Linked DNA regions of Coturnix japonica. The main gene of each other region encodes a partner of the protein of the gene in region 2 in a complex. Links are inferred from orthologs where the notes say so. Each region holds a gene or a part of one and is shown on either strand. Other genes may lie near its edges.

Region 1 (3,750 bases), on a different chromosome or scaffold from region 2:
TCTCAGAGCCTTAAATGCATTTTTTCCTGTAATTAGAGAACTCGGGTGGGAGGCAGTGCTATGCAAATGAAATTAGCATGATGGAAAATTCAGTCCTCCCCAGACCATAATTCACTGCAGTCTTTCTAGGGCCGTTTAAGAGATTTGTTTGGGAATTTGTCTGTGCGCCTTTTTCTAAGGATACATTTTAACAGACTGTCTGCACCTTAATAGCCCTTGGTTTTGGCTTGCCTCAAACTTCCAGCTTTCTGCTGATTTCTCCCAAGCAAATAAGCAGATACCTTGCATTGAGCAAATGCTGATCTAAATTAAGAGCACGGGCTCCCTCTGTAGCCACTGGAAAGAATAAGCACCATTCATGCCTACAAAAGACAAAAAGCCATAAAGTAAGCAGCTTTCCTACCCTTTCTCTCCCCCATCCCCCCCCAATTGAATTCATAAACATCCTTTTTCAGCAATAGAAAACCATTGTGTGGGTAACTAATTCAACCTATCCTGCATGTGATAATATTGGCATTTTTATTCTGCAGACCCATGGAAAATGTCACATGCAGCAGAGATAACTGACATTTCTCCCCCTCACTCCACAGTCAGTCTTTAAACTTAAAAAAAAAAAAAAAAAAAAAAAGGCCTATATGTCTAACTCGTATGTCCAAAGCATCGATGGAAATGAGGATTTTGAAAGCTCTTAAGCACTCGTGTTCCCATTGAGAATCAGAAGTGATTCTCAGTGCTCAGCGCACATCAGGATCTCACTATAGATCCTAACAAATGTAACTGAAGTTTTGCATCCTCCTGAATCACAAGTGAGAACAAAGATAATTTTAAGGTAAATTTCAGCCTTGCATAATCTCTTCTGAACCATAATCTCTTCTCAACAGATCATAACATTTATTACTTCTGCTGGAGCTGAAATGCTACATTTGAAAGTTAGGCCACTGAGAATAGATTTAAGCCTGAGATGAAATTGTTTTAGCTGGGTTGGTTTAGTGTTTTGAAGGTTTTCAGGTGTGATGTGGAGAACACTTTGTGCCTTTTATTTGCTATTAGTGCATTCTCACCCCAGGGCTTCAGGTGAAAAAGACTTAGAGGTGAGAAATCAGAACATCATTGTTTCCCTATTTCTTTTTCCATTGAGAAGATGTGGGAGCACTCCCTGTTCAGATAACGCTTCCCTGTCAGAGAACAAGTGTGCCAAACCCTTTCCACATCTGGAAAACTTCCTTTGTAAATTTTAAGTGATTTCAAAGCCAGTGCAGAAATTCTAACTGAGTTATAATGTTATGTCAGATAAGGGACTAATGTTATTTGCAATGTATGCGAAGTTTTGTTTGTTTTTTTTTTTAAACAAACTGCATTTTTAGTTTGTTTAACGTTGCAATGTATGCAATATACAAACACTACATTTGAACCAAGATCAGAGTTATCATGTTTGATTGTGAGAGGAGTGTCTGTGAAACCATTCCCTTCCCTGATTGGCCCTATAATATAAATGACAGTGGTGGAGCAGAGGCTCTACTACATGCAGCCACTTTGCCCAAATAGCAGTAATCTGGGGATGCAGGGGACTAGAAAAATACAGCAGGATCCGCAACATATATTGATCCACTATAGAGAGAACCAGGAACCCTGACAAATGGTATTTCTTAGAATTTCTATTTCAGAATCTCGGGGCTTTCCTCAGGCTATTATATAAACTCTCATTAGGAGAGCTTCTATTTCAGTCTGACATCTTTAGGAAATTAAGCTTGTGTAATTGCATTGGCTGGCAACCCATCCTTGATAGGTTTGAAGCTGTTGGCTAATTGTCACTAAATCTGCCAAATATTTGTTTCTCCTTTAAGTTTTATGTAGAATTAAGCAATATTTTTCACAGTATTATTGTGTTTATAGCAATATTATTATTTTCAGAACATTCCTCCAAACCTTTTGCTCTATTTTTTCTTTCTTAAATACACTAGTAGCCTAAAAATCAATGTGCCTCCTGAAGTGAAAACCATTTTAAAAGATTTATTATGGAGACAGTTTTGTTGTAATGATATATGTAGTGTGAATAACAGCACTATTAGCACACTGAGTGGTCTAATAACAGGAAATTATTGGTTGATACCAGTGTAATTTGGATCAGAAAATGGCCCTTCATACGGAAGGTACCTATAATATTTAGTTCTATTTGACACTGAGCTGCAGGTGGTAAAATGGACAAAAGATACTCTCAGTGAAAATTGCAGGAATTACAAATTGGAAAAATGGGAGAAAAACAATAGTAAAAGCTTTGGGAGGACAAAGAAAAGGACCTTTCACCTATTCCTGCCTTTGTTTTATGTTTTTTGTTTCCTAAAGAAAAAAAATACCCTACCATATTTTCAGTTCTACATCCATTAAGGAAGCAGCAAGTTCTACACATAGGAAGGAAAAAAATAATCCAGAGGTTTCTCAAACACTTACAGAGTAAACTACCTTAAAAGTGATACAGCTGTGTATCTACATGACTTTCAGATATATGCAATGTCATCAGCTTCTGCCTTGATAGGTTAATAATGAGCAGCTGAGGTACCAAGAGCTGGGTAATACAGCTGCTCTGTGATAATGTCTCCATTTACCAGCAAACTATCATTATGTTTTTAGATCTTTGGAGCCATTCACAGTCTTGCTGGCATCCAGAATTCTTCATAGCTCTTGGACACCCAGAGCTGTCAGTGTCTGTACTCTACTGGAAATTAATGTATGTCTTTCCCTTTCAGAATTAGATTTTGTCACAGAAAGCCTTGAACTTGTGACCTCCATGCTCAGTTACGGTAAACTTATGAATTTACAGTTAAAACACCAATATTACAAAATCTATAATAGTTTCCAGTGCAGAAAAGAACAGTAACTGAACTTGCTTGTGGTACTACATGTCAGTGGCTCACCAGTAAATACTGAAACAGACTCAAAGACAGACATCATCTCCACAGCTCTTAATAGAATCAGTTCTAGTCAGTTGGATGATGACCTCCCCCTGATAGAATAGTTTCTTCCTGTAACATCAAAGTTTTGCTGGGATTACGCCAGTATATGGGAGTCAGTTGTGTCTTGTAACTCATCTCTCAAGTCTAGAATTCACTTTGACTACTTATATAAAATTAGAGGTTTTGCATACATACCTGAAGACGGTCTCTAAGCACCTTGATACCACCTGGGAAGAAAAACACATTTTTCATGAAACTGAGCATCACTGTGTGAATACTTTCACTATTTATTTACTGCATCCTTTATCCTGGCTGTACAGCTTCAGTAGCAGAATCATTTCTTCCTTTTTCACTTATCTCTCAGTAAGCTCCACAGGAAAAAGAGCCACTGTATCTCCAGCTCCTGCTGAAATACACCTCAAATCCACTTTTTCCAGATCATTCTATATAAACAGTCATTCATTGTTCTTACAGTTTTTGTTAAAAAATTAAATAGATTGTATTACCACATCAATCACAACTAAAAGACATTTTTGCTGTTCAACCCATACTGAGTTGGGATTTTTCTCTGGATTTAACACTTCCTCACAAAATGAAACCAAGAAATACATCAGTGGAGGAATCAGATGCTGAAGAGCCACCTCAGTAGGAAAATAAACCACGGAGTTGAGCAGAAGGCTGTTTTTAAGCTGAACTATGAAAGCCAGGCTTCAGACCAAACTGTAATTCTCCTCTCTAAGCAGTGAGGTTTAGAACTCTTAAGGAAGAAAAGAAACCATGGAAAATCGTGAGAATGATA
Region 2 (3,650 bases):
TGCATCAGTCCTGAGTCCATCTCAGAACAGGCTAGTACTTTGTCTAGGGAGTGAGGAACATCATCCTTTGCCTTTGAGAAAGGAGATGTGTTTCTCTTTTGCTATGGAAGCTAATGTTCTTCTTGCAGTACTACAGAATAAAGTCCATGTAGGTAATGAAGTTAAATGATTAATAAACATTCAAAAGTGTGTTCTATCTGTCTACTTTTATTATTATTATTATCAAGTAATTATTTAAATAAGCTTGTTTTTAATACTCATAAGACATCTGTGTTTTCCTTTCCCTGTCTCAGACAGCACAGACTGTGTTGGTGGTGGTAGTGGTTTTCGGCATCTCCTGGCTGCCCCATCATGTGATTCATCTCTGGGCTGAATTTGGAGTTTTCCCACTGACTCAAGCTTCATTTCTCTTCAGGATAGCTGCACACTGCCTGGCTTACAGCAATTCTTCTGTAAACCCAATTATTTATGCATTTCTCTCTGAAAATTTTAGAAAGGCCTACAAACAAGTTTTCAAGTGCCAGATAGGTAACGAATCACCTCTGAATGATGCTAAAGAAAATAAGAGTCGGATAGATACACCACCATCTACAAACTGTACGCATGTGTGAACTTTAGAAAGTCCTGTTTGCTGGCTCTTCAGTTGTGTGAATGAACGACACTTCTGGAAAACAAAGCACAATGAGCTTTATCGCAGCTTTTTCTTGATAAAGCTAATAGGTATTTAAGATAATGAAGTTGCATTTGTGTCAAATGTTCATGAAACTGGTATGAAGGAAAAGTGGGCTGCTCCCTTATATTGTTGCTTTGCCAAATGAAGCTCCTGACCTTTGAAAGATAATTCAGAAGAAACAAAACATTGGAGATGACTTGTGTGTGTTCCTATTCATTAAGCATAATGTGCATAAGCATTCAAATGTAACATACAAGAGGTATTTGTCGGTATGGGTAAATCACTGAATTTTCTCACATCTTACTCTATAGAAGCAAAAAGATGGCTAATTTTTCTGACTTACAGATAATAAGTACTGTGGGACAACAATTTCAGAGAGGAAAAGTTTCATTCTCTGTTCAGGTTGTTTTGCCAATGTCTTTTCCATTTTTAAAGTAAAGATGGGATCTGACTTTGAGTTGAAATAACCAATGTACAATTTGAGGAGATTGCTTTAGAGAGGCAACACCGATTTTATCTGTTCAGCTATCTTTTTAATGTAACATAGTGAACGATGATGTACTTTTTACCTCTTTGTATGCCTGCCTTACTGCATACACAGAACTTTTGTGTACACTATATAAGGTTTTGTTTATGGCCTGTGTGAAGTTCCATCAAAATGGAAATTTGTCTGAGGAAAGCTTTCCTTCAGCTGTTGCATGTGTCTTATGTGTGTGTGTGCGTGTTTTGTTAACTTTATTGAGTCCGAGATGGAAGTACAGTTTTAAATGTGCAATATGAATATATATTTTAAAATATTATGTTCCATGAAGTAAATCCAAGCAATGTGTAAGTGTTTAAAAACAGCAATCCTTTAGAAGTTCTAACAGAGGTTTGATACAATGTAACTCTAAAATGGAAAATTTTGGAAGGATACATTTAAATTGGTACAAAGTATGTAATATAAATTATAAATAAAAAGTGTGAGGGCCTCAGTATTTTGAGGATGTATTGTTAGCTGTAGCGTGATATACTTTTACCATTTATGTTCATGACCCCTGCAATCATAGAGCAAATTAAGTTGAAGAAACCTCTTGGGATCCTCTCAAGGCAGGGCTGCCCTCACATCCATATCACTTCTTGTCTAGGTATGTTTTGAAGATTTACAAGGACAGAAATTCAGCAGCTCATCAGTCATAGCTGGGATTTCTCTTAATGTAGCTTGCAACCATTTCCCTCTGTCCTCTCACCATGCCCTTGAGAAAAATCTTCAATCTAACCGAACATGCATAATAATAGATGACAATTAGAGTTTCTCCCCATCTTCTTCAAGCTGAAAAAATGAGGTTCAAAGTCCCTGGACTTCCACTGGACTTGCTGCAGCTTGGCCATCCCTCTCATGCACCGGAATGTTCCAAACTGGGCAGCATGTTCCACGTGCTTTCTCATGAGTATTGAGCAGAGGAGACAAATCATCTCCCTTTACCCCATATTTTTTTCAGTGGAATTGCATTCAGTCAGCCTGATTTTTGATGTGGTTTTGTTGTAATTTATTAATTTGATAACTTTTGTTCATTCTCTGGCTCATCAGGCGCTTCCAAAAGAAAACTCTTCACTCCAATGTATCTGCTATCCACACAGGTTTGGTGTCATCTGCAAGCTTGCATTCTTGTGCCCTTGTTCTGGTCTTTGCTGAAGATCGTATAACCATAGAATGGCTTAGGTTGGAGGAGTCCTTATAGATCACCTAGTTCCAACCCCCTGATGTGGGCATGGCCACCACCCACCAGATCAAGCCACTCAGGGTCCCACACAACCTGGCCTTGAACACTTCTATGTTTGGGACATCCACAGGGTGGATCTGGGCAACATGTTCCAATTCCTCACCACTCTCAAACTTTCTTCATAGGAGGGGTGCTCCAGCCCTGTAATCATCATCACTGGACACATTCCAAGAGCTCCACTTCCTTCCTGTGCTCTGTGCCACAGGCCTGGATGCAGTACTCCAGATGGGGTCTCATAAGGGAAGAGTAGAGGGGGACAGTCACCTCCCTTGCCCTGCTGGCCACCCCACTGTGGATGCAGCCCTGGATGCAGTTGGCCTTCCAAGCTGCAAGAACACACAGGTGGCTCGTGTCCAGCTTTTCAAAGTTGTTAAATAATTTTGTGATGCTTTGTCAGGTGCCTTTTTCTCCACAGACTTACTGGTCAGTTATGGAGGGCTAACTCACATGAAAATGCCTCCTTACATGTCAGTGTTGTCTACGTGGAATCAATAAAATAATACTGAAGGCATGCTGGTGCACACATGACATTTGTGTCCAGTCCTTCATATGAAGAAGCAATTTGAAGTTACTGCTAGGAGCACAAACATACAAGAAAAAAGAAGTGGAAAAGAAGGGCTTATCTATAGCTAGTCATTTTCTGGGTTAGATCTGGCAGTAGGAGAACAGTCTAGCACAATGTTGCTGTTATACTAAGCTTTCAGTTTTTTCAGATTCCAATCACTGAAGTTATTAAGTCTCTATCAGACCACACTTGAATTTATAACATATTTGGTGATCTTGCAGCTCCAAAAATTGTATTTTTTCCTTTTTAAAAATTATTTGACTAAAAAATTACAGTGTAAATACAAGCTTATACTAATATAAATTTAACCCTACTGTATGATTTCAGGAGGAAATTGCATTTTTTCTTGACTGTAAATCCTTTTAAACTTAGTGACATCATAGTCAGTAATGGGACTTCATCAGTTTGAAATTCTAAGGATGAAGGAGTGGGGAAGGCCTGCAGTAAGAACATGTTTATAGCTCCCTGTCTGATTTCTGAGGGTGTCAGTAAATCTTGCAGCTTACTTCTCAGGGATGTGTTAAGAATCATTTATAACTCCAGAATTCAGTTTTGTGGCTAAAACATATCCCTTTTAGTCCATATCTCTACCATGGCTTTGATGTGTCCACTGCAACCCAGAGGAAGTTAGTGTTAAAACAGTATTAAA

Evidence for each region. The genes of interacting proteins can lie anywhere in the genome.
Region 1: the proteins of GALR1 (region 2) and GAL are in contact, whole or in part, in a cryo-EM structure (PDB 7WQ3), measured with the Homo sapiens proteins. The link is inferred for Coturnix japonica from reciprocal best matches to the Homo sapiens genes GALR1 and GAL. Residues at the interface, in NP_001471.2 of Homo sapiens: Glu32, Gln92, Thr94, Val95, Tyr96, Leu98, Pro99, Thr100, His112, Gln174, Phe177, Arg180, Gln184, Phe186, Cys187, Trp188, Glu189, Gln190, Ile266, His267, Ala270, Phe275, Leu277, Ser281, Phe282, Arg285; in NP_057057.2 of Homo sapiens: Gly33, Trp34, Leu36, Asn37, Ser38, Gly40, Tyr41, Leu42, Leu43, Gly44, Pro45, Val48.

The regions. Positions count from the first base shown.
Region 1 is NC_029520.1:8,165,528-8,169,277, reverse strand, and holds the start of GAL (galanin peptides), read left to right. Parts: upstream 1-1,384; 5' UTR 1,385-3,750. UniProt on the Homo sapiens protein: Endocrine hormone of the central and peripheral nervous systems that binds and activates the G protein-coupled receptors GALR1, GALR2, and GALR3.
Region 2 is NC_029517.1:81,385,850-81,389,499, reverse strand, and holds part of GALR1 (galanin receptor type 1), read left to right. Parts: intron 1-293; coding exon 294-611; 3' UTR 612-3,650. UniProt on the Homo sapiens protein: Receptor for the hormone galanin. The activity of this receptor is mediated by G proteins that inhibit adenylate cyclase activity.